4 linked regions of the Rhinolophus ferrumequinum genome follow. The protein of the gene in region 4 interacts with the protein of the main gene of each other region in a biochemical or structural test. Links are inferred from orthologs where the notes say so. Each region holds a gene or a part of one and is shown on either strand. Other genes may lie near its edges.

What was found.
Region 1: the proteins of UBA1 (region 4) and UBE2J1 form a complex in vitro, tested with the Homo sapiens proteins (2 studies listed by BioGRID, with this or other methods). The link is inferred for Rhinolophus ferrumequinum from reciprocal best matches to the Homo sapiens genes UBA1 and UBE2J1.
Region 2: of the proteins of UBA1 (region 4) and UBE2R2, one has a biochemical effect on the other in vitro, tested with the Homo sapiens proteins (5 studies listed by BioGRID, with this or other methods). The link is inferred for Rhinolophus ferrumequinum from reciprocal best matches to the Homo sapiens genes UBA1 and UBE2R2.
Region 3: of the proteins of UBA1 (region 4) and UBE2H, one has a biochemical effect on the other in vitro, tested with the Homo sapiens proteins (3 studies listed by BioGRID, with this or other methods). The link is inferred for Rhinolophus ferrumequinum from reciprocal best matches to the Homo sapiens genes UBA1 and UBE2H.

The regions. Positions count from the first base shown.
Region 1 is NC_046286.1:46,026,385-46,034,518, forward strand, and holds the start of UBE2J1 (ubiquitin-conjugating enzyme E2 J1), read right to left. Parts: upstream 3,400-8,134; 5' UTR 2,755-3,399; coding exon 2,724-2,754; intron 1-2,723. UniProt on the Homo sapiens protein: Catalyzes the covalent attachment of ubiquitin to other proteins. Functions in the selective degradation of misfolded membrane proteins from the endoplasmic reticulum (ERAD) and is essential for cells to recover from ER stress.
Region 2 is NC_046295.1:50,521,461-50,529,238, reverse strand, and holds the start of UBE2R2 (ubiquitin-conjugating enzyme E2 R2), read right to left. Parts: upstream 3,474-7,778; 5' UTR 2,883-3,473; coding exon 2,706-2,882; intron 1-2,705. UniProt on the Homo sapiens protein: E2 ubiquitin-conjugating enzyme that accepts ubiquitin from an E1 ubiquitin-activating protein, and catalyzes its covalent attachment to other proteins by an E3 ubiquitin-protein ligase complex.
Region 3 is NC_046309.1:16,520,183-16,527,669, forward strand, and holds the start of UBE2H (ubiquitin-conjugating enzyme E2 H), read left to right. Parts: upstream 1-4,255; 5' UTR 4,256-4,703; coding exon 4,704-4,756; intron 4,757-7,487. UniProt on the Homo sapiens protein: Accepts ubiquitin from the E1 complex and catalyzes its covalent attachment to other proteins. E2 ubiquitin conjugating enzyme that transfers ubiquitin to MAEA, a core component of the CTLH E3 ubiquitin-protein ligase complex.
Region 4 is NC_046284.1:86,707,507-86,715,258, reverse strand, and holds the start of UBA1 (ubiquitin-like modifier-activating enzyme 1), read left to right. Parts: upstream 1-4,331; 5' UTR 4,332-4,471; intron 4,472-7,348; exon of another isoform or gene 7,349-7,555; intron 7,556-7,752. UniProt on the Homo sapiens protein: Catalyzes the first step in ubiquitin conjugation to mark cellular proteins for degradation through the ubiquitin-proteasome system.

The sequences.
Region 1 (8,134 bases), on a different chromosome or scaffold from region 4:
AATGACCAAGTATATACAAATATAGGGACTACGTTAGCCTGCCTGCAGAAGTTGAACAAGACTGAGCCTTAAAGAAGCTTGAAGAGTTAATAGGAATTTCAGCTGCCTTAAAGGGAAGGCATTCAAAGCAGAGGTCCCAACAGGGACCAAGACATAAAGGTGAGAAGAGCTCCATCTGGGGGGTCACTCAGGCTCCCCAGTGGATGAAGAATGGACAGTTGGTGAAAATGCAAAGGAGCATAGGAGTGGTAGAAGGTGAGGCTGACGGGGAAGGCAAGGATCAAATCAAGAGCAGCCCAGTAGGCCAAGCTGAACGGTTTATTTACTTTGAACTTTATCCACAGCCATGAGGAAGCTACTGAAGACATCTCAATTTAAGGAGTGATTTAATCATGCTTTGTTTTGTTTTAATTGACCTGGTGACAATAGTGACTGATTATATCGGCGGTGCCAAAAAAATGTATACAAGTGGACACTTTGGTCAACGTTGCTCAAGCAGTAGTTCGCCATAATCAGAAGTGTCTGGAAGCAGATGGTAACCACTTTGAGCACCTCTTGTAATTGCAAAAGTCAAATGTGATTTGTATTCGTCTTTTGTTATCCGTATATATTATCCACATGTTAGCACAATGACCCTTAACCAGTTACCTGTATTGTCTTAATTGTCCCATCCATACTTCTAAGGCAACTCCACATGAGACAGAGAGAAAAAGGATTGTATCTCTTATCTTACAGTGTGCAGTGTTTTTAACTACTTCCTTTTACATATACATTACTCCCAAAATATCACAGGACTGAACAACAAAACAAAGTAAGGAAGCATTTTCACTATGCCTCCTAGCTTTTCAATAAGTCCCAAATCACATTTAATTCACCTTCTCCATGAACTCAAAATGATCCACACAAAAACAAAAAAAGATTTTTTAAAAATTCTGTTTTAGAACAGTAACACCACCTTTGAGGAACTGAAACCAAAAAGAGGAAGCAATTTATTACAGCTAGAAGCATGTTGACCAAAACTCAGCCTGCCTGCAGGTCATATACTTCAGAAACGTACAAAATTCTGGAGAATATTAAACGTTTATCACAATCTCAGGTATTATAACCTGTAAAATTCAGGAATGTCCTGACAATCTCCACTCTAAATTGTACTATTACATTTGCATTATCTCTGGATAGTGCATTTACATTTGCATTATCTCAGGTATCCTAAGGAACTTGGTACCAAGTGACCAAGAAGTCACCATACATTTTTACCCTCCTCCCCGTTTTATTTAAATCTACCACAATCTAAATAATTTAACCATTCTACCATCTAACCTTAAAGTTAAGTTTTTCCTTCTCTCTTTCGCTTTAATTTTTCCCCCTGGCATTCTTAAGAGATCGGCTAGAGGGGGAAAGTTGTGAACCCACTGAAATTGAATTGTATAAATGTTTTTTTAAATAGATCATAGCCTTTAGCAGATTCTTACAGGAATTTATGGCCCCCTCAAATTTTATGACCAATTCTACATACTTGTTCACTTAACATTTCTTAGCCTGACAGCACTCAAGTTAACAAACTCTGTTCAATCAATATCCTCAGGCTCTTCTGGAGTCTTTGCATATTCTTAAGTATTTAAAAAAATCAAAGATTCACAATGTGAACTCTTTCCATAAGGAAAGATTCCTACTGAGAAGCTGCTTTTTTGGAAGAAAAAAATAATAAGCAGCAAGAGTTGGTCAAACCATCTCTAATATTTTAGGATTATCATTTAGAACGAAACTGTGGAGTTTCTCCCTCCTGACAAATTTATCAAGGTACAGATAGAATAAATACCATTTATAGAACACAATGATTCATTTCAAGCCTGCCTTAATCTGAGAGCTGATTACTTTTCCTGCATCTTTATAATGCACTAGAAAAGAATTTGAGGCTAGGATTGTTTGGGCTGCTTCTGTGAATGAAACAGGGACATTAAATACAGGAAAAGAAGTTTCAATGACTAAATATATATATATATGTATATATATGTGTATATATATATACACATATATATACACACCCACACACACATACATACAAACACACACATATATATATATATTATGTATATAATATACAATATATACATAATATATATAATATATATATAATCAGATTAGTCAGTATGACAAAAAATCAGGTTAGCTCTAAAGTACACGACTCAACTAGTTTCCTTAGCTCTCTGGCTAACCGGTTTAGTACAGAACATTTCATTTATGTCTGTAATTCTATTAGCTCCAAATGCTGCAAATGGGATATTTAAGCAACTAAATCCTCAAATGCGGGTGAGTCAAGCAGCTAAGGAGTCCAGTGGCAGCTTCGGAGAAGGGATAACGACGGTGTTCAGGATGCAGTCCGGCCAGGGGCTGTTAACTATTACTCACGGACATCATCACCTTTGCACCTGTTCTTAGGGATGCGTTTATAACCCAGCTTACGCGACGCAGATGAGGGAAAGGAGAGTCCGGGTGCTGCGGAGCGCTGGCCAGTCCCCAGACTCAGCCGACTGTGCCCGCCCGGCCGCCGTGCCCTGCGGCCTGCACCAGCCCTGCAGGCGGCGGTCTCGCGTAGAGCGCGACACCGGGAATGGAGCCGCGAGTCGCGGCGGACGCGAGGGGACCGCAGCGCCGGGCCCCGGAGTCCAGGGTCACTCCAGTCCACTCCGACAGTGCTGCCCACCGCCTCCAGCCCTGCTCACCCGGACTCTTCAGGTTGTAGCGCGTCTCCATGGCTGGTCGCTGTCCCGGCTCCGGCCGCCCTACCCGCCGCCGTCTCCTCTCCACGCCGCTGGTGCCCCGGTCTCAGAGCGGTTCGGGGCGATTGCGCCAGGCAGAGGGAGCTTCCGCAGACGCCGCCCAGCCCTGGGCCGGACTGTGGACCAGGTGGTGAGGGTGCGGGCGAGGCGCGGGCTTCGCGATGGCGCCGCCTTTTCCGCTGTTCCCCCGCCTCCCTGAGGGCCTGGCAGGCGCCGGCGCCGGCCGGGGCGTCGCTGAAGGGGGCGGCGGGGCTCGAGGTCAGCCTTCTCTATTGGCCCCCGGCCCAACCCCGCCAGGCCGCCGGGCCTGCGTCACCGCCCTCGCCCAGGTTTTGTGAAGTTGGTCTGACGTGGCAGTCGCTTCGTGGCGGTGGGTCAGCGCAGCCTGCGGTCACTCTGCTGCCGCCGTGGCCCCACGAAGCCCGCTCGCCGATCTTCCGCCGGGCCCATCCGGGGTCCCCAGGCGCTCGCGGCTGTTACTGAGGAACGGCGTGGCTGGAAGCGGACCTGACCCTACCTGCTGCGGGTGTGGTCCCAGACCCCAGCCCTCGAGAGGTCAGGCGGTAGCCCGGGGCTCCCGCTGCAAAACTGTCCTGTAGCCCGGCTACCTGCGAGCTGCCCCTAGGTGTCTGCGAAATGCTTTTTTTAGATTCAGTAGTTTGGGGTGGAAACAGTTAAGTAGTGAAAGGAAATTCCGGTGATAAGGGAAATTGAGTCGGATTTTAATAACATTTTTTTTTTCAGATAATGTATTTAGGTGCCAGACACGTTTAAGTATTGTAAGGAATTTAAAAAATTTTGAAACTTGTCAAAAAATGAAACTAAGAAATTACATTGAATTGGGGGAAAAGCATACAAATATGAAAGGTTGAATCTCAAAGGACACACTTCATGGTTCATTGTGGAAAGAGTGGGATCGTGGAAAAGGGGTCTATGGGTTCTGAAGTTTTAAAAGAGGAACAAGGATTTAGGAAAAGGAGAGAGGAATTGGAATGGTGGGGAGATTGAAGAAGGAAGGAAAACTAGGCGGGATGAAGACAGTTAATCAGGTTGGTTGGGCACGTTTTATTTTGTTATATAAAGATAGACAACTTTGGTTTTGAAGGGTAGCAGAACATGCCACCCCCAAAATATGCCTCTTTGGCACAAGGATTATTTTGAGAAACAAGGCACAGGAGAGGAGAATCTTTGAAAACAGAAGTTACCCTTTTGTAAGGGAAATTTACATTTGTAAAGGAAGTATTTTTATATCTCCTTCTGTGTACTTGGAAGAGAAAGTTGACTCTATGAGGTGGGACAATTAAATTTAGCAACTCATCTTAGAAAAAGTGCCACATATGTCATTGCTGAATATCACTACGGTCAACTTTGAAGTACTCCCCTTGGGAAGCTATGCACTGATGCCAGTGCCTAGTCCACCCTTCAAAGCAATTTTGGAACTCTTTTCCTGGAATGGCCATCAGAGCTGTCGTCACATTACCCTTGATGTCCTGAATGTCATCAAAATGTCTTCCTTTCAGTATTTCCTTTATCTTCAGGTAAAGAAAGAAGTCATTGGGGGCCAGATCAGGTGAGCAGGGAGGGTGTTCCAATAGTGATTTGTTTACTAGCTAAAAACTCCCTCACAGATAGTGCTGTGTGAGCTGGTGCATTGTCGCGATGCCAGAGCCAAGAACTGTTGGCGAAAAGTTCAGATCGTTTTTCGTCTTAACTTTTTCACGTAGCCTTTTCAGCACTTCCAAATAGTAAACTTGGTTAACTATTTGTCCAGTTGATACAAATTCATAATGAATAATACTTCTGATATCAAAAAAGGTTAGCAACATGGTTTTGACTCTTGGTTTGGACTGACAGAACTATTTTGGTCATCTATCATTGGCTGACTTCCATTGGCTGACTTTGATGCTTTGTTTCAGGGTCGTATTGGCAGTACACCCATTTTTCATCACCAGTGATAACACAGCCCAAAACATTGTCCTGCCTCTCCAAAAGGTCTTGGCAAACTTCGACTCTCCTTTGCTTTTTGTTCATCATTTGGAACCATTTTTACACACACATTTCTCATGCCAACATTTTCAGTTAAGATTTTTCTGTTTATCGATTCTTACTTGGTCTGCTAAGCTTCTCTCAGTCAGCCGAGGATTTTGACGCACAATTTGACAACTGTTTTTGTCAATTCTGCTCATTACTGGCCGCCCTGACCTCTCTTCATCAGTGACACATTCTCTTCCCTCAGAATAACATTTAATCCATTTGTAATCCATTTGTGCACTGCCGTTTTCTTCATGGCGTTATTCCATTAACTTGGACTAACACCCCTGATTTCACTTCCACTCTTGCCAAATTTAACAAGAAATTTAATGTTTGTTCATTGCTCTATTTCCAACTCAGACATTCTTGTGACAGCACACAAAAACACGCAACAATAGTAACGAACACCACTCAGCAAGACACCACCACACGTCGATATGAACACAGCTGTGAGACACTGATATACCAAGGTTATGAAATCTTACCAGGCTGTTTGTACAGTGCTGCCAATGTAAGTGCACAGTGGCAAGTTCGTATGGGGTCTCTCAGGTATGTGGGGTTCCCCTACCATGTATGTATTAAATTTAGTTATTTTCTCTTGCTAATCGATTTGATTATTAGACCAGCCAAAAGAACCTTGAAAGTAGAGGAAAATTTCTTTCTCCTCCACACATACATCAACTCACTTATTCTTCACAACAGCCTTGTCAGCAGCACAGATTATTGTTAACGAAAGTTCCCAAAGAAATTAAAAGAGAGTTTTACTCATATATGAATTGTATATCAGAGAACATGTGAACCAAAGACACATTGGGGCAGAGGAAAACAGGGTTTTGAAAAAAAGGGTTGCTAGGGAAACAAGGTTATAAACTTAAACATCATTCATTTTCTGATTGGTGGGGGCAACTGAACTTTTAATGATAAGAACAATGGGTAACGTGATTAAGCATTTATCAAAGTCCTAGTTCAGGCTTACAGGACAAAGACTTTGGGTCAATAGGTCCAGGACAGGGGGTGTTGCTTAGGAACCGCACAGGGGGTACCATTTTTCAAACAACACAATCACTACATGGGAGCTTCTTGCTCTACAGGTGGTTTCGGAGCCCCAAAAGGGCAAAGTTATGCTGAAGCAGGGCCCTGTTGGGACCCCAGTAGTAGAGGCCTGTCCACGTCCCTGGCCTCACCTTCCTTCACCTACCTATAGCTTAACAATAAATCATCTCTTTGCGGCTTGAGCTCAGAATGTCCCGTCCCACCCAGTTCCCCGTTTTAGAAAATTACCCTGAAACTTATGATTAATATCCTTAGGCTTATTGCTCACAGTCTCAATGGTCTAGCATCATTCTTTCCAGACATCATCCTTTCTGGGTTGCTGACACCACTGCAGAATCGAGCATCACGTTGCCAGAGGGAAGGCTCCATGCAGACCCCATCCCAACCCTCACATAGCCTTTAGACGAACGCCCCGATTTTCCCTTAAATACCCAAGTCAGTCTGAGAATGTTAAGGCAATTTTTGAAGGTGTTAACCTGCTGCCTTCCCAGACCACCGGTGCTCTGAAAATAAACGCTTATTCTATGGCCCAACTCCTGTGTCGGTCTATTGCCTGAGCAGCGAAGGCAGCATAAAACCCCGGACTCGGTTGCCCTCCGGTTTCAATGCCTTCTAAGCAACTTCAGAATTCAAGCTGCAAATCTCCAAATTTGGGGCCATAAGTTATGATATTAAAGGTCTTATAAGTCCTCATTATTTATATCCTCTTTACAGATGAAGACAATTGAGGTCTCAGAAAAAACAATTTACTTAAATACTCAGTTTACAATTACATTAAAAGTTCTTATCTTTTTTGGTATATCATTTTTATCATACTGATAAAAGGAAATTTTTCTAGGTCCTCATTTATGTCTTGATTTGAATACTTTGAAATTCATTTTACAGAGGTTCTGAAGAATATCATTGACATATTCAAGGCTACTCATCTAAAAGTAGAAAAACACTGATTCAGATCTGGATCTTCCAACTCTGAAACCTAGATTGTTTTCACCGTGCTAACGCAGAATCAGGCTGTGTCATACAAGGCCTTTCCCCCCACCATTTGAAAGCAGGGATATGCTTCTTAGAATCAGAGCTATTCTTGGACCACACACTTTAAGATATTTATTCTTTAGCATTTAAAAAAATGGCCATGATGAACATTGTAGTGTATTTACCTTGCTTGAGCCTTTATTTATAAAGTACAGGTATATGAATAGAGTTGAAATTCCATTGTATGTACTTTTTTATACTAAAAATATCTGCCATCAGCTAACTAGTGTAAAACAATAAAGAGGTCTAAGCTAAAGGAAAAACAAAGAAATGCAGTTTTAATAAAGGCTCAGGTTACATGTACTGTTCTCAATCTGGCCCTCTTTATGTAAATAAAGGATTCTGGGTAGGTTAACTGGGATTGGTTGAGTTTAACATGCAAACAAAGAATGCTGGTTGGCAAAGCGGTTAGCTTCTTTCAAAGTAAAGAATGTAAATGATCAGTTTGTCATGGTGAGAAAGAAGTCCATGGCTGAGAAGCTCAAAAGGTTATGGAGAACCGTGTAAGGCAAACTTCTTCATGGTCTCCCAGCTCCATGCTAATTCCCCTAACATAAATGAGTCCACTTTGGCAATCTCTGTACACCTTGGATTGCTTGTTTTGCAAGTAGCAGTGCTATTACCAGATAGATAGCATAAACTGACTAATTTTACATCAATGTCTTCCTAAAGTATGATTTAAAATGAAAAAGAGCTTGAAAAGACATAGGTGGTCTCTAGTGTAAACATTTTATTAATTCCTTTGAATATTTTATAATAGTTTATTATTATTATTATCATTATTTAAAAAAAGAACATCTGCCATAGTTTTTCCTATTGTTTTCCCCCAGAATTTCCCCCTTTGGAGTAGTTAAGAAAAATGGGACTAATTTTCCCGTAGGAATGTAGCTGATATTAATGTTAGATGTTGTTCATTATCAGCAACACAAGTTCCAACTCTGGTTATTTTAACAAAAAAGTCAGAAAGGAGTTGTTTTGTGCCCCACCTCACTGCACTGCAGCTCTAATGCTATGCTTGTGCCTACCACCTGGTGGCTGGCTGAGGGATCCAGTAGAGAAACTGATTTCATTTTTTCCTTCTCAGTTTCTATTTTCAAGATATGTCTTCCTGCTCATTCTATTTTAACACTTTTCTAATACTGTATTCCAGAAGAAAATATTATGGAGAGATATCAAATGAGTATATTTGAAACCCAGTGGAGTGCTTACAATCCTAGTTTTAGTAGTAGGTAGGTGTC
Region 2 (7,778 bases), on a different chromosome or scaffold from region 4:
CTGGACAAAAAGATAGGAAGGCCACAAAAGATTGTATAATAAGCAGAAAAACACATACAAGAAACTATCTTTACCCATCACACATCCATACCCTCCAAAGCTAAGACTCACATGGATTTGAGATTAAAAAAAAAAAAAAAAAAGGCAGGATGAATCAAAAAATATGTGAAATACAGGTCTCCCAAGTCTCTACCACAACAGATGTACTTAAAACACACTAGAGCCAACTACTTCATGGTGAAAAAGATCAGTTAGAAGCCTATTATATTAATATGTAAAAGTTAAAGGAGTTTCATTATGAAAAATTTTTTAAATGGCAGTCTAATTGCCTTCAAGAACTATCATTCAAAATAGACAAAAAAGTTTAACTTAAAATAGTTTATACTAAATGTTGAAGGACTATGATTTGATAAAGGAGAACAGTAGAGAAAGTTCTGTGCCAACTTTTAACTGCAGCTGTAGTGGAACACACTAAAAGCCTTGTTTTAAGACAAAAGCAGTGAAATAAAAAACAATGGTTTTAAACCTATCACCAGTGTTAACTGCTCATGACCATAAGTTTGCGTTTCCAATGAAGGATTTTGAGATAAAAGGCCATATAATAAGGAAACAAGTGGAAGAAAATGAAATTGAACGAAATTCTCACACAAGACTAAAACATAAAACTGTAATTTTCATACATTTTTACATATCACAAAGGTAAAAAACTCAAAGATAAAGAAATCTAACACAACAAAATTGGAAATTAAACCATTCTATTTAAATAGGGCTGAAATTAATAAGCTTTTAATTTAAATCAGTGTAGGCTACAGGGAATCCTCTTTATATACTATCTACTCCAAACTGAGAGGATTCTCCACACTCCTTTCACATTTAAGCTAAAATATTACAATTTGAAAAGTTGTTTTTTTTCAAACTCCATTGGAATGAGATTATTCTAACTAGACTGTCAATTGCCCCAAACAATGATACTTTTTGGAAACTAAACTTCATTCCACTAGATTTAGCCAGTAAATTTTGCTAAATAATCCTTTGCTAGAAGTTATATAAATTCCATGTTGTGAAACTAATTTTTTCAGTATCTATAAATAAAAATTTATACTTGACAAAAGACATTCCTCAACTAATAACTTGTATATTTAGTGATTTTAAATATCTGCATCTGAAAGCATAGTGTATCGTGACCACAAAAGATGAGACATACAACTGGTAAGGGTACTGCTATTACACAATATTCTAAATAGTGCTTTTAGTAGGTATTCAGTGCCTATCACAGGCATAAATATTTAACATTCCCCTATCAATTCTTCACATTTTCTACTAAGTTGACCCAACTTCAAGCCTGAAACTGAGGCTTCTACCTTTAGAAGAGAAAAAAACAAAAGTAATTGGGTAGTCCTAAATATACACACCATAACTACATGACTTAAGATCCTCATTTAAAACTTTTGCCAAGATAGCCCCTCCCTTCAAAACAAACTACGATTGACTCACACTGCTCTATTTGACTTAACTTTGGAAATACAAAAATTAAATGCTTTCCTAAGAACTCATTTCCCTCGGTCTCTGCATACACCATTTAAAACATTCAACCTTCAATCTGATCCATCCCTTCCAAAATGGTAAAAAACAAAAACAACAACAACAAAAAAAACACAACACCTCAGTATCTCTAAATTATCTACCATGGAATAAAAAAAAAAATACACCATATTCAAGAATAATAACCACCGTTCTAAAGTCTTGGAAAACAATGGAAGCAATGTCTGTGGTCGCTGTCTGCGGAGCCGTCCTACTCGGTGAAACCATTTCACCTCAGATGATACTTTTAATCTGTGAGACCACCCCATTTTCTAGAGTTAACCACCTGAGCAAAGGGTTTCAATTTCGTCTCACTAAAGTGGAAAACTATCAATCACCCTACATAATAAGTTCCACCCTCTAGATATTTCTACATGTAGGAACAAAACAACAACAACAAAGCCAGTAAAGTTGGTGGCAGGGTGAGGACAAAGAGCATTTTGAAACACTACAGAAGTAAATAGAGAATGAGGACAGAAAGGGGGCTAAATTAAAGTTCCCTCAAATGAATAAAGGAAAGAAAACGCAGGTACCCTTGTTTACCACCCCTAAGCCCCCATTCTTCACTACCGCCCACTGGAATGCAAAGTTGGAACTACCACTCCGTCAGAAGCCCATCAAATCCTCAAGATGTCAGGTCACCAGGCAGCCTCTGGAATGACAGGCTAATACCCCTCCCCCCACACCCCCCAAAAAAGAAAGGTTCAATCCAATAAGTGCAGGTCACTCTGCCCTCTGGGGCAGTTCCAGCCGGCGCAGGGATGGTTCAGATGGGAGGACGAGAGGGGAAAGACAGACCACCTTTCTTCCCTTACACCTTCCGCTGAGGAAACAAAACAAAGACAGCCGCCCTCCTCCCCAGGTCGCCTCTACACTAGCCAGAGAGGCTTTCCTATTTCCCGGTGCAGTCTAGCCTCCCGCCCCCGCCCCCATGACAAAGAAAAGGCACTTGGTGAGCAAGGCCTTCCTGCCTCCACGAGTGGGGGAAGGGGCTGCCGAGGTGAGGAGCCCCCTCCGCTAACCCGCGCTCACACTCGCTCACCCTTGGCCCCGAAAAGAGCCAAAAGCGGCTGGGAACAGAGGCCTCCGCCGGGGAATCCTGGTCTAGGAGGGGATGGGGGTACCTTGAAGTAGCCGCCTTCATAGAGGGTGTTGGGGGGTCCGAAGATGGCAACCTCCCAGTTGTAGAGGTCGGACTCATCCACCAGGGTGATCCGGAAGCCCTCCACCGGTTCCTCCTGCAGGGATTTCAGCTCTAGCATCAGGGCCTTCTGTGAGCTGGTCATCTGCTGCTGGGCCATCGCGGCTGCGGCGGCGGCAGCGCCGGGCCGGGGCCCCAGTCCTCACGCACCGGCCGAGCCGGACCAAGCCCCTCCCCTCCGCTCGCGCTCGGGCCGGGCCGCACCGGGCCCTTGTCTTCACACACCCGGCGGGCCGGACCAGGCCCCAGACGGCCCGTGGGCCGACCCGGGTCCTCCTCACACACGACGCGGGCCGGGCCCTCCTCCTCACACTCCGGCCAGGTGGGGGGAGGGGTTCAGGGAGTTAAGAAAATTCGCTCCCGGTCCCGGGCCTCCCCCCCCCGGAGGGGGCCTCAACTTAGGGGGGGGGGAGAAGAGGTGGAAGCCCAGGAAGGCGGCGAAGGGCAGGCGACGGTGAGGGGAGGGGGGCAGGCCGGCCCGGGAGCGCCGCGCTCGCTCGCCCTCTCGTTCTCCTCAGGGGCCGCCGGAGCCGGAGGGTGCGCGGGGCCGAAGGGCGGGGGGAGCGCAGTGATCGGGGGTCTCGCGGCGGCAGCGGCGGCGGCGGCTGCGCGTGGGGAGGGGCGACAGCGGAGGAGGAGGAGAAGAGAGAGAGCGCCTCGCGCCGCGGGAGCGACGGAGCGGAGAAGAACGAGGGAGGGAGAGAAGGAGGAGGGGCGCACGCCGGGAGGGGGGAGGCTCTCGGCGGCTGGCGGCCCGACGCGCTTGCGCGCGCCCCTCCCTCCCCCGCCCTCCTCGCCCTCCTCCTCCTCCTCCTCCCACTTCCCCGCCTCCTCTCAGTGGCCCAGCGCGGTGGCGGCGCTTTGTGACGCCAGAGCTTGTACCCCGCCCTTAAAGGGCCGAGCAGCTGTAAGGGCGGAGGGTAGCCTCAAGGGATGCCCTTGGCCCCAAAGTGACGGTTGGATGCCCTGGTTCCTTAGGCGCGCCCGGGAAGGGACCTCTGGTCTTAGAGCCATCAGCGCCCTCCTACCGCATCCACAGGCCTCCTCAGCCATCCTCCCAGGAGCCCTGGTCCCCTGCAGGCCCCTCCCCGTGACACACAGTCCGCTGTCCCTACACTCTGCAGATGCTTGACAAGGATGTGCTGAGAATGTGGGCCTTATCGGTGGGAACAAGCGTCCTGACATCTCTTCTGCAGGTCCAGCCCTCACGCCAGTGTGTCTTTGGAGGGCAGTGTGTGGCACCCATTTGGGGGAGTGGGTGAGGCCAGTTTCCATTGAGAAATGCGGAAGGCAGATAGGCCAGCTTTCTACTTCCCTTCTTAACTACAAAGAGGAAGCTTGTGGGAAATAGAAAATAATAATACTGATTGAACCAAGGTTCCTGGCCCTTCTCTCTGTGATTTGAGGCAAGTGCTCTGGCTATCCCTCAGTTTACCCATTTGTAAAATGAAGTACTGTGGGTGAACTTTGACCCCCTACAGAGCCTTACAGCTTGAAGGTCCAACCTGGGATTGAGGGACTTTTAAGATAATCATGGCTGAAGTGAGATGTGGAGTCTTCAATCCCCGTGATTTAGATAGACTGCCCCTTTCTCTTAGGAAAGCATGTCCTGTGATAACTGTCTAAATGTTTTCTATTATAGAAAAGCCAACATACTGTGAAAGTTCCAGAATTGGGGGATCAGAAAGATCCTTTGTTCCAACCCTGGCTCCACCATTTACATTACCTCTTCCTTTTCCATCAGCTTCTGTAAAAGAGGGTTAATTATATGTAATATAAGCAATTGTAAAGATTAATTGAGATTATCTGTACACAAGGTTTAGCACAATGACTGGAACATGGTAAATGATCCATAAGTAGGAACTTTAAAGGAAGAAAAATAATTTAAAGGCATAGCTGTATTCTGGATGTGATCCCTCCCACTGTTTAATAGACTTTTTCACAACAGGTTTAGATTTCTAGAAAAATTGAGAAGATAGTACAGAGAGTTCCCATATTTTCCCATAGGCACCCAATTTCCCCTATTATTAACATCGTACAGTAATATAGTACATGTATTACAATTATGAATCAAAATTGTTATTAACTAAAGTCTTTACTCACATTTCCTTAGTTTTTACCTAATGTCCTTTTTCTGTTCCAGGATCTCATCCTGAACACCACATTATATTTAGTTTTCATGTTTTTCACTTTGACATTTTCTCAGACTTTCCTTGTTTTTGATTACCTTGACAGTTTTGAAGAGCACTAGTCAAGTATGCTGTAGAATGTCCCTCAATTAGGATATGTGTTGTTTTTCTCATAATTAAACCAGGATTATAGGGTTTTGGGGAGAAGATCACAGAGGTAAAAAAAAACAAAAAACATTTTCATCACATCATATCAAGGGCACATAATGCCAACATGCCATCAGTGTTGATATTGACCTCACTCACCTGACTGAGGTAGTGTATCAGGTTTCTCCATTGTAAAGTTACTCTTTTTACCTTCTTTCGATACTGTACACTTTAGAAGGAAATCTCTATGCACAAACCACACTGAAGGAGCCCTTTCATTTTTTTGTTCTTTTTTTCTCAGAAGTGAGGTTTCAGTATTTTAATGAATCATTCCCTAGCGCCCAACTCTATTCAGTAGGCCTTGAGGCCAAACTCCACTGGAATTAGAGCTCACTTCAGAGAAGGGGGACTGTTTTAGTAGTGCAGCCTCACCTCCCAAAATGATGGTATGTGACTGATTCTGACTTCCTCTCCACCAGTCAATTTAGGGACAAGAAGATTGCTGACCTGGAAACGTGGGAGATGATGTTGACACCTTTAATAACAAGACTGTAAATAGACAAATAGGCAGAAAGTTCATCTTCAAAGCATTTCACCCACATAAACTCATCACAGCCCCACCCTGACCCAGAAGTTGGTAGATCCTTAGCCTAACCCACTGGAACATAGACCTGGCACCCAGATCAGAAGCTGTGCCCTGGGCTCAAATCAACTCACAAACTCATACTAAATATCCACAGTGGGCATGGCCCTGAGCTGGGTGACTAATAAACATACACCTGTCTAGGAGGCTCACAGCCTAGTGTGTTACTAATGCATTGTGTACTTAAGGTCCTACATTCTTAGGTCAGAGGAACTAGAATTCCACAGAACTTGTCTCATGCCTTTTTATCCTAGCAGGTAAGACAGTGTTTATTAGTAGGTTGCGACTGTGTCTTATTCATCCCTGGATCCTGAGCAAACAGCACACGTCTGACATAAAGTAGACACTAAGTCATTGTTCTCATGGGCTTGCAACTAAGGACAGGAAGACAATCATTAACAAAACAAAACAAAACAAAAATCCCAAATTGGGCAGCCGGTTGGCTCAGGTGGTTAGAGCACAGTGCTCATAACACCCAGGTCGCCGATTCGATTCCCAGATGGGCCAGTGAGCTGCGAACTCCACAAATAGATTGAAAACAACGACTTGACTTGGAGCTGATGGGTCCTGGAAAAATACACTCTTCTCCAATATTCCCCAAGAAAAATTTTTTTAAAAACCCCAAACTGAACCCCACCTTCCACCTCCATGTTTTATAGGATCTCTCAGACACATAGTAGGTGCTCAAGATTATAAATTCCACAAGGATGACACGTTTTATTCATAACCATATACAAGCTACTACAATGTTTGGCAAACAGTGGGTACTCAAAACATGTTTGTTAGAAGAATGAATGGCAGAAACAGCTTCCTAGACCTTTCTCACATTGTTTCATAATGACAAGTAGAGATTGACTTTGCTGATTGGTGCCCTCTGGTGGTAAAGAAAACAGGATATTTACTCTAAGCACAGCATCACCTGATACTCTACAACCAGGGCTCTTTTGAAGAATCTATTACCTTTCTCGCAAAGAGAAAAAATAAAGGAAATCTTAGTAAGATAAATGAGAAGGACTGGTATTTGCTTTAGAAAGATTCTGACCTTATAGAATGACTCTGTTTAGGGGGCCAACATTTTTTTCATTCTGCATATGTTAACTAACACATGTAAATCTTGAATAGTGCACTTAAGGAGCACTAATCTTCCTTTAATAGCAACAGCTAACATTTGCTGTGTATCAATATGTGACAGGCTCTTTATATGCAGTATCCCACTTAATTCTCACAAAAATCTATAACATGGCTATTTACTGAGTATAATAAAGCTTAGAAAGGTTAAGAAAGTCACCCAATGTCACTCAGTGAGTAAATGGCAGAAACTCAGGTTGAACCTTGGTCATCCCACTTTAGTGTGACTGCTCTTAACCGCCAAGCTGTAATGTTCCTCATCTAACGTGCCCACAGCAATGTGTGCATATCATAACACCCCAGTGCTATACTACAATTATTTGTTTACATCTTTCTCCGAGCATCCAAGGTGCTCTTAAGAAAGAGACATTCATTCACTCAACAAATATTTATCGAGTGCCTGCTATATGACAGACCCTGTGCCAAATGCCAAGAATACAATAGTGAATGAAACAGAAATGACTGGGCCTTACCTCATAGAGCGTACATTCTAGTGGCTGAGACAAAAATAGACAAAAGCAAGTAATCAATAGACAAATAATATTGACAGTTTCACTGAATACTATTGAAGGTGATTAATGGAGGGCCTAAGACTGAAAATGTTGGGGTGGATGCAATTTTAGATGGAAGCAGGGCAGGGGCAGAATAAATCTCTATGAGGTTACATTTAAATTAGTAGAGGGACCAGCTTGTGAAATGTGAGGGCAAGAGTATTATTCTAGGTCTCTGGCTTGTGATCATGTCTTATTTATCTCTTTATCCTTGACACTGAACACAGGGCTTGACATTAAGTGTCATCCAATGTGGAATGAATGGTTGACTAATCTCTCAGCTCTTTGTTCTTCCTCTGGCTTCAATGGTGCTGTTTCCTCCTCTCAGTCAATTCAAACTCAAATCATGTTTCAAGATTTAGCACAAGCCCCATCTCCTCCAGGAAATCTTCCTTAAC
Region 3 (7,487 bases), on a different chromosome or scaffold from region 4:
CAATATCTCTGAGGTATGCCTATACATCAATAACAGGTAACAAATCTGGGACTAGAAAGGGTTGTTTGTCTCTAAGTTCTATGCTCTTACTGAATCATGCTGCTTTTGGGGGGGTTGGTGTTTGCCCAAGGAGCCTGTTACAGAGGTACTGTGGAAATGACAACAATGTAGGAGGTGAAATCTTCCGTCCTTGCTACTGTGTGGCCTGCATTTTCCTGCGCTCACACTGACTGCTTCTGTGGGGACAAATTGTAACAGGGTTACGTGGAAATGACTTGAAATGAGTTTTAAGCTTTTATGTCTATAGCAGCCAGGAAAATGCTAATATTATTGCCCTTAGAGGGGCCTGGACCCAAGATCTCAGATGCCAAGAACACCAGCTCAAATGAACCTATTTCCTGCTAGAAATGGTCAAATGGAATCAGAAGGCCTTTTTGGGAGGACTTTCACATTGGGTGGGGTCAGTGATAAATGCGCTTGGTTTTAATGCCATTGGGTCAACAGGTACCTTCAGACACAGAGGCAACTTCTGGGCTCTTCCACTCCTCCACCAATGATAGGTTTTCATCTTACTCCCTCTTTGTGCCTTGCTCAAAGCATTACATTCTCTCCAAACTTACGTTCTTGCCTTGGAGAAGCTGCTCCTGAGATCAGAGGCTCCCCTGGTCAAGCTTGGCCCTGCCCTGGGGTGAGATAAACAGGCCCAAATACATTTCCCAGATTGCAACACTGGTGAGTCAGGCAGGGTCGGACAGCTGTTCCCTCACCGCGTCCCTGGTCGTTCCTGATAAGGAAGAACATGGCTCATGCCAGCGTGCTGCCGTGTGTGTGCACATATAAACAGAAACTCCCAGGCCCCAGTGTTGTCTTAGAGTAATTATTGACCTTCTGAATGGCTGAACATTGGGGAAAAAAGGTGAGCGCAAACTTACTCTGCGCCAGAGGAGTTCTAGGTTTCACAAGCCAAAAATAAGTAAAACCAGGGCTGTCATTTGACACCACTTGGGAACCACCTTTTGAACCTACCTAGCCAAGGGCAGGTTCAGGAGTCCTCTGAAGCTTTGGGAAGAGGAGGGGGAAGGTTGCAATGGAGGGCGGGGGAGGAAGCCAGGAGAGAGGAGATGGATTTATGAAGGTGCAAATGGCAGAATGCCCAGAGAGAAAAGGCGTATTGTAGAAATGCGAACATACCTTCACCACAAAGAGAAGGAATTGACGCTATGACATCTTTTAAAAAACACCAAAAAGAGCGAATTCCCTTTTCCTTAAATGACATACAGTGTATAAGGAGTGGGGCAAATGGGCGGGGGTTGATATTAATAATACAATAATACTGCCACCAATATCATATTACACCTTGTAATGAACACTTCATGTTACCTTTATGAAAAGCAATTTATAGTTTACAAGGGGTTTTCCCATTCATCTTTCCATTGACTCCATCAGCCTACTGAAGTTATGAGCCACATTTTACAGATGAGAAAATTGAGGCTCCGGGAGGATATATGCAATTAACTGAGGCATAATTAAGAGCTGGAGAGGGGCAGGTTTGTCCTAAGTAACCCAGAGCTAAGGTACTTACTAGACACACTAGGAAGGGTAATTCCTTTTCTATTTCCCCCGCTTTCTTCCGCCTCCCCTCCCACTCTGGGTTCAAGCCATTGTTTCTCAGTCTAGTTGTGTAGGACACAGCTCCCTGGCCCATGCTGGTATTAGGAGCCTTGCGCTCCCTCAGGCTGAGGCAGTTGGTCGCCAGTCATCAGTCGGTGGCCACCAGCCGCTCATGGCAGCACATGGTAGCCCAGGGGAGCCGACAGCAGCACATGGCAGCACACGGCAGCACACGGCAGCCCAGCTCCAGGGAGAGCCGTTGTTCACAGTATTAGCTGTAGAGGGCGCAACTCAGTGGCCCATGTGGGAATCGAACCAGTGATCTCGGCCTTAGGAGCATGGCGCTCCAATCATCTGAGCCACTGGGTCAGCCCCAATAACTCCTTTTCAATGACTGCCTCGGAGGGCTAAATCTCCCTTGCATTTCTAGGTAGAACAGCCCTACCTCCTCCAGTGTTGTCCAGAACAAGTTTCTCCAATTAAACACGCCTCTAATTAGTTTTGCTTAGTACTTAGATCACAGTAGCATAGCATCTGTGAGGATTAAAGCATCAGGGAAAATTTCTAGATCCACCTCATGCCCTTCTTTCTTTAGTGTCCCATCCTTGACTCTTTCTAACTGTTCTGGAAGCAACACCTTTGGATGCTGTAAGCTTGCCACCTTGCTCTCAGGTGGGGAGGAAACATCCTTATTTGCACAGGACACTATGGAAGCACAGGACCCAATTTGAGGGGTCAGGGTGGTGTTTTGAAAGTGCCCATACCTACTGGAATCGTCAAGCAGTGGTTGTCAAACTTTGGCCTGCATCAGAATCATCAGGGCAGCTTGTTAAAGACATGGACGCCCAAGTCCCACCCAGACCTTCTGAATCAGAATCCCCACGGGTGGGGCCTGGAAACTTGTGAACTAAACAAGCTCCCCCAGTGATTCTGAAGTACACCAAAGCTTGCGAAGCACTGTCTGAGCATGGAAGCGGGAGTTACTCAGATGAAGGAGAGTGGAGGGCCATACTGGGTGACAAGGTAGCAGCAACAGAAGCCCAAAGAGCCTAGAGGAGACTCAGTCAGGAACGATTTTCTGCTCCATTCTTATCTTCCTTTAGCAAAGTGGTCAAATAAAGGGAGTTAGAAATTCCTTCGTTCAAGTATGTCCTCTTCTGACAGAATTGCTATGTGCAGTAGGAAAAAAACAATGCACCACCTTCAGAAGCAGTTAAAATAGTCTATCTTTTTCAGAAAGTAGAATAAAGGTTACCGGGGGCTGGGGTGAGTGAGGAAGGAACAAGGAGTTACTGTTTAATCGGTACAGAGTTTCTGTTTGGGGATGATGAAAAAGTTCTGGAAATGGACAGTAGTGATGGTTGCACAACATTGTGAATGTATTTAATACCAGTGAACCGTACACTTCAGAATGGTTAAAATGGCAAATTTTATGTTATGTACATTTAGCTCACACACAAACTAGCTGGTCATTTTGAGGGATGGAATGATGGGAGCAAACACCGTTCAACTTTAGCTGATTGCCGTGTGTGTGTGTGTGTGTGTGTGTGTGTGTGTGGTTACATAAGGGGACTGACAAAGTACTAGTGGATGCATACATAAGATTTTTGAAAATGGATGGCAGTGAAAATGTGGTATAAATATAGAGATGCCTAAAACACTCTTGCCTGCCCCTTTTGCCTGGCTGGTTCCTGGGTTCCACATCCCTTTTTTTGGAGCGCCTTGCAGAGCAGTGTCTCTCAAACTTCACTGCTCATAGAAGTCACCTGGGGACTTCCTTAAACTGCAAATTCTAATTCGGTAAGTCTGAGGTGAAGCTCAAGCCTGCATTTCTAACAGGTTCCCAGGTGATGCTGACACTCTAAATCCACAGACCACATGGGAGGGCTGTGCAAATTTATAGAGTCATTCTTAGTTCACCATGATATCTGTATGTCCAGCAGAGTGATCAGTACATAGTAGGTGCTCAATAAATATTTACTGAATGAATGAGTATGTAGGGTTGGTATAGGAATTTGGAGGGCAATCTTTGTCCTCAACTACAGCATATGTAAGGTGTTTCTGCTTCTGTCAGTCATTCATTTTGTGAAATTACCTCATACTCTGTAGAGTAAGGATGTGGGTACTAAATTATGTTTGGCCTTGCCGCCTTGCTGCCTCAACGCTAATCCTTGAAATAGTGGCCCTATCTATATACGTGGAGAATAATGAATCCTGGTTTGCAAGCTCTGAGGAAGCCTCGCTATAGTCTAAAATCGCTGTAAACAAATTCTCTCCATCTAAGGAGGTTAGATTGTAGGGAACCTGCTGGAGCCGGAAATTTCCAGATTTTGGTGCCTGAGTAACAGCCACCTTGGCCTCCTCAAATCAAATAAACAGCCTTTTTAACAGTGTGTGAGAAGGAGGTTCATTACACTAAAACACATGAAAGTAATAATATTGCCATTATTTACTATTATCGTTTATGATGATGATAACGACACTGGCAGTTGAGCGATTGTGTGGGAGAGTTGGGGGAGGGGGCCCAGGGCCGAGAAGGCAGGAGAAAAAGGAACTACATCTCCCAGAATCCCCGACGAAAGTCCACGCCGCGGCGACCCACCCCTTTCGCCCACTGGACCCGCCCTGCCGATGACGTCACAGAGGTGACGTCACGGCGCCCAGAGCGAGGCTAGGGTAGAGAGGCCGACTGAGCTGGAGTCGTCCGCTGGTCGTGGAGGCTGCTAGGGAGCCAAGAGAGGGTGATCGGGCGAGCAGACGAGAGAGCTAGAGCAGGCAGGAGGGAGCGTCGCGCGGCGCAGAGTAGCGCCGGGGCTGGGCCGCAGCGGAACCCACAGTCGGAGAGGGGCAGCCCGAGCCGGGCGCCGCGGGGTCCCCACCCCCACTCGGCCGGACAGTGCCGGGTGTTCCCCGTGCGGGGGGCGGCGGCTGACTGGACCGGACAGGACCTAGAGGGTGTTGCCACCTCTAACGAGGAGCCGGCGCGTCCGCGGGCTCCGAGGAGCCGGGGCCCGGGGCCCGTGACAGACCAGCGGAGGAAGGGAGAAAGGCAGCGGCGGCGGCGCAGGCGACGGGGAAGCAGCGGCGACACCATGTCATCCCCCAGTCCGGGCAAGAGGCGGATGGACACAGACGTGGTCAAGCTGTATCCTTCGTGGAGGGGGGATTCAGGCTGTACGTGGGGGGCGGTGTGGGGATGCCCAGGGCACCCCCCTGAAACCCAAGCGAGGGCCCTGGGGCACTACAGGGCACTGTCCGAGGCTCCCTCCCTCCTACCAGCGCCTACGGCGGCTCCTTGGCACCTCCCATGACCGAGAGCCTTTTCAGCTCCCCCTTTATCTGCAGCACCCCGAAACGTGCGTTTTTCCTCGCTCTTCCTGCACCCCCAGTGCTCATGACTTTCCACCACGACGTTTGGACTCCCTAAACGGCCCCCCCTTTTTTCTTTTTTCCAGTACCAGCCACCTCTCTTCACCTACGAGCCCACCTTCAGGGTCTCTCTTTCCTGTTTGCTCTTTTGACTTTAGGGACTCGAGATAGAAATTCCGGAGAGTGAAGCCTTTTCTCCTTTTCTTGAGATGCCTCCCTTCCCTCCACTCACAGTGCTTCTTGAACTGGGGTAACTCAAGTGACCTCCTTTATCCCTAATTCCTTTCTATATTAGGAAGAGAGTAGTTTGCTCAGTGCCCCCTCTTGTAAGTGATAAAGAGCTCTGAATGTTTTAAATCAGAGACCCCTGTTAAGCTTTCTGGTGCCTAGTAGAACCTCACTGTTTTTCTTTCCACTGACAAAGCCTGTCCCACCCATAGTTATATGTGGCGAGGACCCCCAGGCCCTCTAGCAAGCCACCCTCCATATTATGCATATGACAGCGGGGGGAGGGAGGGAAAGGATTTCCTTAACAAAATAGCCCCTGTACTATGCACTTGAGCAAACACCCTTTATGAGGATAAGGTTCTTGGGGAATAATTGCCATGATCTTGCCAAATGACACCCTTTATTTTCCGACCCCCCCTCCCCCAACTTTATGTACTCTGGAGGTAGCAGTGGGAAAGCTGTAACTGATAAGAGTCCGTCAGGCAGTGGTTTTGGTTGGAGTCCAGACTGATTATTTCATGACCAGCTAGAGAAATTCGCGAAGGTTCCTGTGACAAATCGAGAAATTTTTTAAGGAGTAATTTAGAGGGTGGGGGGGAGAGAGGAAATGAGCCCAGTGTTCTGGACAACTAATCACTGGGGAGAGGGGGAAACGTGTAGGGAGTGGTAGTGTGTGAAATGCAGTTAAAAAGTCCTGTCTCTTGCTTCTCTCTCCCTCACCCCCATCCCCCCACCATTTCCCCCTTTGCAGGGTTTTGTTTATATAACTCAAGTTGTTTGGCTAGATTCTTCAGGTGAATTCCTTCTTTCTTCCTTTTGTTACTGTTTTGATTGGACATTTTACCTCTTTGTAGAGATCGATGATTGTTGTTAAATAGTCAGTTATGGAATTTGCTAAACTTTTAAACAAGTAGTTTTTGCATTTGGTTTGGAAGTGGGGGATGGGAGGGAAGTTGACTGGGCAAGAGATTTTTTCTTTTTATAATCTTTTCAGGAATAAGAAGGTGTTTTTTCTCCTCACTCAGGAAACTTGGCTGGAAATTAGGAACAGTAGATAAACTTCTAAGTTTAGGGCTTGAAGTTTAGAATTTGGGGGAGGTAGAAGTGAGGAGCAAGTAATAAAGTATATATTACGTACCAAACATATATCCAGGCACAAGTGAAATGGACTTTTTATGAACTGTTTGTGGCTCTGATTGAGTTTTGTAAACGTGTGAACGATACCAGTAATGTTGGCTTTTCATAAGGTTGCAGGAAAACTTGTAACTATGGCTGTGTGTACATTTCACACAAAGCAGTTTCGGGTTTTATTTTTGTTTAGAAACTAGGAAATGACAGGGTGGCAGAATCTGAGTTATTTTTATCTTGAATTGAGAGTTAGTGTCACACCTAATGCAAATTTCTACCTAATGTTTAATTAGGATGGGGGTGGGCAAGAGAATGCCAGCTGTTTTTGATCAATGTCAGATTCTCAAATTATATACATACATATTTTTAGAAGATTGAGGATAAATAGTGAGGCCTAACTTGACCTGATGCCTTTTCCATACAGTGCCTTTTGTTCATTTAGTAGTTGTGGCATCTAGAATGATTACCGCATTTAGGAGTCGGGTGTGGGGGGTGGAGAGGGAGAGGAAAACAGACAAAGAACAGCAGGGTGTCTTTCTTTTTTCTTCCCCTAAGTGGCTTATTTCATAGCTTATTTTTAGTAGAAGATGAAGAAAGGCAAAGATGCTTTGGCCTTCTGTTCTTTCCCCACCTTCCTCCTTTCTGACAAAAGAAAGCAGAGGCGCTTTAAAAATCATAGATCTCTGAGATATGAGATAGGAGGACACCAGTCTCACGATTTAACAGGCACAGGTTATCTTTGTTTCGTATTTGTTATTTTCTGGGCTAACGTAGTTTGGAAGTTAACATTTTTGTATTTTCTTTTGTGTGTGCATGTGTGTTGTGTGGGTGAGATTTTTGTGGCCTCCTTTCTCTGTTGAATTCACACTGGTAGGCCCAAATGGAGCCAACAATTTTTAAGCAAGGTATATTTAGCAAAACATTTAAGTAAAAATTTCCCAACCCATTACTAAAATGAGTACAATAGTGTGAGAGGGCTGGGGGTTGAAAATGAAAGATGGTGGAGAGGAAGTAGAAAAGGTCTGAAGGAATGTACTTGCTTTTTGCCCCTCAGTGCCCCTTGATGATTTGTTTGGTGTGGAGGCCGATAGCTAGTTTCATTGCAATCTCCTGTTTCAGCCCATTTTTGGATGTCTCCTGAGCATAATTAT
Region 4 (7,752 bases):
GTATTTCCTTACTTTTCTATATTGCTTGTCTCCTTCACTAAAATAAAAGCTCCACAAGGGAAGGTACTTTTGTCTATCACTTGTCTATCTTGTTCACTACTGTGTCCCTAATGCCTACAACAGGGTTTGGCACATAACAGACCTTGGCAGCATGAATAAGTCACACACCACAACTGTTTGAATCACTCTCATCCTCATCACTCTCGTCCCCAAGCCTCCATTTTTATTTTTATTTTTTTACTTATTTTATTTATTTATTTATTTATTTTTAAGTAATTGCGGTTTTTGCAATTATTTTTAACCTTTTAAACTGCAATTACTTTTCTTTTTTTTTAAGGAGGGCCCAACTCACAGTGGCTCATACAGGGATCGAACCGACAACCCTGGTGTTACTAGCACCACGTTCCAACCGAGCTAACCAGCCACCCTAAGCCTCCATTTTTTTAAAACAAGGCTAATAAACAGTTCCTTAAAAATCTATTAAGTACAACCATCCAATAGAAAATGCATAAAGGACATGAATTCCCAGAAAAGAACTGCAAATACCTTTAAATTTATGAAGGGATGTTTAAGTTCACTCCCAGGAAGAAAATGCAAATTATAATTACACAGGATTGGCAAACATCCAAAGGCACTTTCCTGCTGGAGGCAATGTGAAATGGTACAACTATTGCGGCCCCCACTGTCCCCCCCTACTTTCTCCACATGCTTTTGCTCAAGCTATTCCCTCCCACTGGAATGCCTTTCCCTCTCACTTGGGAAAGTCCAAATCCTGCCTCAATTACTCCCACTGATCCATTTGAAGCCAATCAATTCTTCAAAGAAGGACTTGGCCACACACATGGCTTCAGTTGTCACCCCTAATGGTCTTCATATCTCCAGCCCAGATTTCCCTCCAGCCCCTGAATTTCAGACCTGGTCCCCAACTGTTCACCCAACGGACACATACCAGACCTTGGATGTCTAACAGACATCTCAAATGTAACATCTAAAAACAAACTCCTGATCTTGCTCCACACCTGCTCCTAATGGAGTAGTTCCCTTGTCAGCTGATGACAACTCCATCCTTCCAGCTGCTCAGACTAAAAACCCGGGGGTCAGCCAAGACTCTCTGTATCTCCCTGTATCTGACCCCTTCGCAAATCCTGGCATCTTTACCTTCAAAATCAATCCAAGATCTAATCCTTCCTCACCACTTCACCACTTCCACTTTTACCACCTTGGTCTGATCCTCTCTCATCACTTCCTTGACTCTTGCAGTAGCCTTTACACTGAGTTTTCTGCTTCTCCCTTTCCCCTTACAGTTTGTTCTCTCACCACACAGAGCAGCCAGATTGTTTATTCTAAAATATAATTTATAGGGGGCCGGCCCCGGTGGCTCGGGCAGTTGGAGCTCCGTGCTCCTAACTCTGAAGGCTGCTGGTTCGATTCCCATATAGGCCAGGGTGCCCTCAACCACAAGGTTGCCAGTTCGACTCCTCGACTCCTGCAAGGATGGTGGGCTGCACCCCCTGCAACTAACAACAGCAACTGGACCTGGAACTGAGCTGTACCCTCCACAACGAAGACTGAAGGGATGGCAACTTGACTTGGAAAAAGTCCTGGAAGTACACACTGTTCACCAATAAAATCCTGTTAAAAAAATAAATAAAATATAATCTAATTTATATAATGTGACTCTCCTGCTTAAAATCTTTTTATGGCTCCTATGGATCTTAGAATAAAAAACATTTCAGCCTGGCTTGCAATGCCCTATTTGACATGGCCTAGGATCTCATCTCACAGCACTCTCCCTCCCTCACTGCTTTCCAGCTACAAAGACTTCCACGCACTTCCTCAAACATGCTAAGAACTTCCAAGCTCAAGGCTTTGCACTGGATGTCTCCTCTATCCGGAATGCTTTTCCCCATGTTCCTTGTGGTTCACTTCCTCACTTTTCACATGCCACCTCTGAGAGGCATTCCCTGACTACTTTACATGGGGTATGTCGTGCGGGAGACCCTGCTCGCTGCACCATTTGTCGTGTGAGGTGGCCTGCGGGGTCTCTAGACCCGCTCCCCACATAAGAACGCAGGACATGGTGAGGCCAAAAAGGAACACCCATGGAGCCATAGATAGGGGAGTCATACCGCTATAGTCTCACTGGAGGCTGGATCCACACGACCTGCAACCTGCTGTCCGCTTTTCTGCCTGCCAACCGACTGACTCAACTCACCAATGCAGCCGTGGCAGTTATATCAGTGGCTAATTGGCTAACTGGTTACAGCTGACGGCCAATTAGCCACAGCTGACGGCCATCTACTACCCAAGCCAGCACCTTTCTACGTGACACCGAGAGCCTGGAAACTGCTCTCTGGGACTCTGTCCCCACAGGTATTAGGGCAGGTCTCTCTGAGATGAGGCAAACGATAAATAAGGAAAAGATCTGATGGAAGAGAGGTCTTGACTATTGCAAGGGCAGTCTCCTTGTTATGTTCTCTGCAGTGTCCCCAGTGCTCTGCACTTAGTAAGTGTCATGGAGGGTCTCAGCTCCCACTCCCCACACAAGAATGCAGGATACGGTGAGGCCAAAAAGGAACAACAGAGCCACAGATAAGGGAGTCACATCACTATATTCTCGATGGCAGCTGGTCGAGACACAAAAGCAAACATCTGCCAGTACCCCAAGGGGGTCTTCCTGCACCCCAGTCTCAATGGCAGCCAAGTGAGATGCAGGAAGTAGGACCCACACGATCTGCAATCCTCTTATCCACCACGCTTGCTAACCCCACTTGCCAGCCTCAATCCGCCGTCCGCTTCTCTGCCAACCAACCAACCCCTCTTGCTAGCGTAGCCAAGGCAGTTATATTAGTAGCTAATGGCTAACTGGTTACAGCTGATGACCAACTAGTCACAGCTGATGGCCATCTATTACCTGAGCCAGCATCTTTCCATATGAGGTCGAGAGCCTTCTGCTCTCTGGGACTCTGTCCCCACAGTAGGCATTCAATAAATCTTTTTCAAATGAACAAATTTGGAGGTTGTTGACAAGATATGAGGTACAGAATTTGGGATAAGATGTTAAAGGCATTTTGTGTTAAACACCTTCGCTCAAACATCTTCTCAGCGAGGCCTTCTGTGGGGACAGAGCCAGGAGTGCAGTTTCCAGGCTCTCGGCCTCACGTGGAAAGGTGCTGGCTCAGGTAGTAAATGGCCATCAACTGTGATTGGATGGCCATCAGCTGTGGCTAGTTGGCCGTCAGCTGTAACCAGTGAGCCATTGGCCACTAATATAACTGCCGTGGCTACGCTAGCAGAAAAATAGGGCCTAGCAAGAAGATGGTGGCTGAGCTACCAAGCGGCGGAGTGTGGATTGCGGATTGCAGAGGCGGATTGCAGCTAGCAAATGGGGAGTCGGTCGGTTGGCAGAAAAGCGCACGTCGTGTGAATCCAGCCTCCAGTGAGACTATAGTGGTATGACTCCCCTATCTATGGCTCCGTGGGTTTTCCTTTCTGGCCTCACCGGGTCCTGTGTTCATATGTGGGGAGCGGGACCAGAGACTCCGCATGACACCCCGCGTGACATCTTCCTTGACCCCACTGTCCCCCAAATTTCTGCTTACCTTGTTCTATTTTTCTCCATAGCATTTAGGAATTATATATACAACACACATTTGCATATATATTTAGTTATATATTCACATGCAAATATAGAATATACACGATGTATTAAATGTAAGACATTTATTATATACAGATGTAAATTATTTACATATTGACACTAGCTATCATGTTATGTAAACTATGTAGTATTTATATGTACATTGTATTACATAATATATATTATATAGTCACATGTATCTATTTTAATACATATTTATATGCGAAGCTATAATTTTTACTTATGTGTTATGTTTATGGTCTGTCTCTCTTGCTAGAATGTCAGCTCCGTGAAGGCAAGAAAGCATCCCCAGCGCCTGACCTACCGCTTGAGCTCCATAAATGTCAAATGAATGAACTCCTTTGGCCATCTGAGCCTCAGCCTTCCCATCTGGAGGATGGGTGTGTCTTTCCATTTGGAGGTACCCCAGTGTTCCGCTCCCTTTTCTCACTCCCAGAGCACCGCTCCCGGAATTCCACAGCCCAGGTTTACATTTTCCCATACCCTGGCCGCTGATGCCCACCACGTGCACCAGCCGGGGGCCAGATCGGACTACCACCCCCAGCATGCCTCGCGCTTTCAGGAAGGACCACAACCCGTAGGGGTGTCTGGGTCTGACACGTTCTGCCGAAGGCGCGGGAGCAGGGGCGGGCGCCCCTCTAGCTAAGCGTTTGTGGTACGTCCCAAACCGGGGCCCTCCAAGTCCCCGCGCTTCCGAGCTCCGCGCAAACTCTGGCTCTTCTTGTGCGACGGAGGTGGTTTGCTCTTCCGTTGCCCCGTGGCTTCGGCTCATCTCCAGCAGGAAGGCGAGGCTTCCGCCCGGCGCAGGGGGTGAGCTGGAGCACGGTGCCCCCCAAGCCCCTGGACAGAATTTGAGGGAGGGGGCTCAGTTTCGGGGATCCCCCAATGGGCATATTTGGAGGCTCTGGGCCCGGGATGGCTTTTAGGGGTGGCTGTTTTTGAGGGACCCTTAGGAAGTGGCTTTTGGGGACTCCGGGGAGGGATGTGGGAATCTGTTGTAGGAAATATCCCTTGGAGACAAGGTTTATATACCCCTCGGAGACAGGGTTTAGGGGGATGTTTGGGGAGACCCTTATGGTCCATGAATGAGTACTCTGTCCATGAGGCAGGATTTGGGGTGCTTCCCAAGGGGAGAGGCGAAGTTTGAGGTCCCTGAAGTCAAGGCGGAATTTTGAGAGGGCTTGTTTTCAGGAGAGGTCCTGACCACGGTAGGAACGTTCAGGACCGACGTGGCATTGTGAAGGTATCTGTGGCCTTTGTGACCTCTGCTTATATGATGCGGTTCCCCCCCCCCCCGTGCTTGATTACTCGGGGCGGGGAGACTGGACCGGTCAGAGCCCACAAGTTGTTAGGAGAGGAGCCCCCAGCCCAGGCTGTGGAAGGGACGCCGGAGCACAGCTTGCTACGCGCTTCCCGAGGGTACTGGGTGCCACCCGGCCTTCGTTGGCCGCGGCTTTCTTCATTATTCATGAGGAGGTGGGGCTATGAGGAAGCCCATTTTTTTGCCTCTTTCGCACCTGGTCCGCTGGAAGTATCGGCTTGTGAATTATTCACGATGGGGCGGATCAGCGTGCTGAAGGGGCGTTCTACAGTTTGCCGGGCAAACTAGACCTCATTGATTAATCGTAAAGGTGAGTAGCACCCAAGTTGTCAGTGGCTTCTCTAGGGGCGTTGTGCATAATTCATGAGGGGCGTAGCTTTTATGGATTCATCTGCATGATACACTGTTAGCTTTGCCTTGTAGGCTCCAGGGTTTAAACCTCGTGCATGGTTCATTTCTTAAAGCTCAGTAATCTCAGATTATCAACAAAGGATCTAGATTCAAATCGTCTTCTTTCCAAGCCGTGTGATCTTTGTCAAATCTTTCCGTGAGCCTGAAAAGTGGGCATGGGCATGATGACGATCAGATTAATTTACACTAATTTAGCACTTTATTAGCACATTTAATCCCCACAACAATCCTAGGAGGTAAGTTGTTATTATCCTATTTTATAGATGAGGAAACTGGGACACCGGGAGGGTAAGTAATTTGCCTACTCCCAGTCAGTGAGTGGCCGAGCCTGCATTCAAACCTAGCCAGTCTAGTTCCAGAGTCTGTACCCCCTAATTTAATGGTACTACCACTGTTAGTTAAATAGAACTATGTGCCAGGCACGGTTCTAAGCCCTTTCTACATATTTATTCATTTAAAATCCATCATCAGGTAGGTTACTATTCTCATTTTATGGGTGGGGAAGCAGTGGCCCAGAGAAGTGAAATGTCTGGCCCCAGGTCACAGCGCTAGTCATCGGTAGGTGGAAGTGATTTTTGTGAGGGTTTAAGAACTCTCTAAGGAGGTCACCTTTGAGCTGAGACCCGAAGGACAAGAAGAAGGACAAGAAGAAATCGATTTCCTGCTCTGCATTCCTGAGATCAGTGGCACAATGCCGGGAAAGGAGACACCACATCTGTTAATGGGATCTATTATTATTCGACAGAAATGTATTCGGTGCTTGGGGTTCATCTGGCAGTCAGTCCTACCTATTTAATGGATATTGGTGGCCTGAGCTTTCTGTTTTCCAGTGTCCTTCTGGGAGGGTGTTTGAAGGCATTATTTTTTAAATAATGCCCCAAGTTGGGGGGCTTCTCTAGTGGTTGCGAATACGCTCACACACAACTAATTTTATATTAATATATTTACATATTACCTTTATAGTAATATACACATATATATATTTTAAAATTTAACAGTGCCCTGTGCCAGCACTACACTGAGCTCATCCATAATTCATATTCTCTGATTTTGATAATATATTGCCTTATGAGGTAGATGGGTTCTCTTGCTATCCCCATTTTACAGTCATGGAAATTGAGGCACTTGCCAGAGGCATGTAGTGCGTCTGGATTTGGTTGGAACAAGGCAGCCCTATTTCACGTGCAGTTAGTCAGGGGTGGGGAGGCGGCTGCTACACTTCCCCTGGGTTTCCGCCATGGCTCTGCAGCATCGGCTTTTATTATTCATGTACAGGAAGGCTTGCCCATGTTGCCAGGGCTGGATTACCCTAATCCCTACTTGCTGGGAGGGCTGTCCATCCAGTCTCATGCATAATTCATAATGAGTGGGTGGGACCTTTCTTGACCTCTCTGAGTTTCCAGGTTGAGCTGCTGCAACATTGTTACTCATTATTCATGAACCGGGTAGGGTATTTTTTCTGTAGTAGCCCTATTTCCCAGGTTACAGAGTATTAGATGCTGTAATAGGTGGGCCTGCCCCTTTTGTTCCAGCCCACGGGGCCTCATGCATTATTCATAAGAGATGTAGCCTTGGTCTCCTTGGCTTCCGGGCTGCTGCAAGATCATTCATTATTCATGACAGTGGGGCGTGGCTTCCATGTTGGCTTTCTGGTCGCAGAGTGTTGGTCAACCAACCACCTGGGCATATACATAATTCATGATCAGGAAGTGTGGGCTTGAGGTCCCTTCTTGGTTTCCATGGCAGCCTGGCTGCAGCAATATATTCATTATTCACGTTCCTCTGCTTTCCTGGTTTTCCTAGTTAGTGCCATAGTAGCCACCAGGTGGAGCTATTCCTCTTCAAATGAGTCCCTGACATGCGGGGATCAACATTCATGATTCATGAATGGGCGCGGTCTGCCTGCATCCGGGTTCCTGGGGGTAGGGCCCAAGGTTTTGTTCCGGCCTTGGGCTCAGCAGCCGCCATCTTGTGTCGGCGGCGGAGGTGAAGGAGGCTACGGGGACGAGCGCAACCACTACGGCCGGGGGAGGAGAAGGCGGCGGAGGCGGCGGCGACGACTCTAGGCGGCCCAGGCGGCGGGGAGGAGGAGAAGGAGGAGGGTGGCTTGGCTTCGTCTCCTACAGGAGTTGGCGGCGGCGCGACCCGGGGAACCGGCATTGGTAACAAACGGCCTCTCTCAGCGCCTTGGCCGGGGTTTCGGGATGCATTGGAAGGGACAGGGCCGGCGCTGGGCCAGGCTGATGTCGGGGCGGGCAGTGATAACTCGGAAGCTGGGGTTCGGTGGTCGGGGGGGGGTGCAGATCTTGGGGCGGGGCCGACATTTCCCATCCAGGACCAGCCCAGTCCCTCGGCCTCG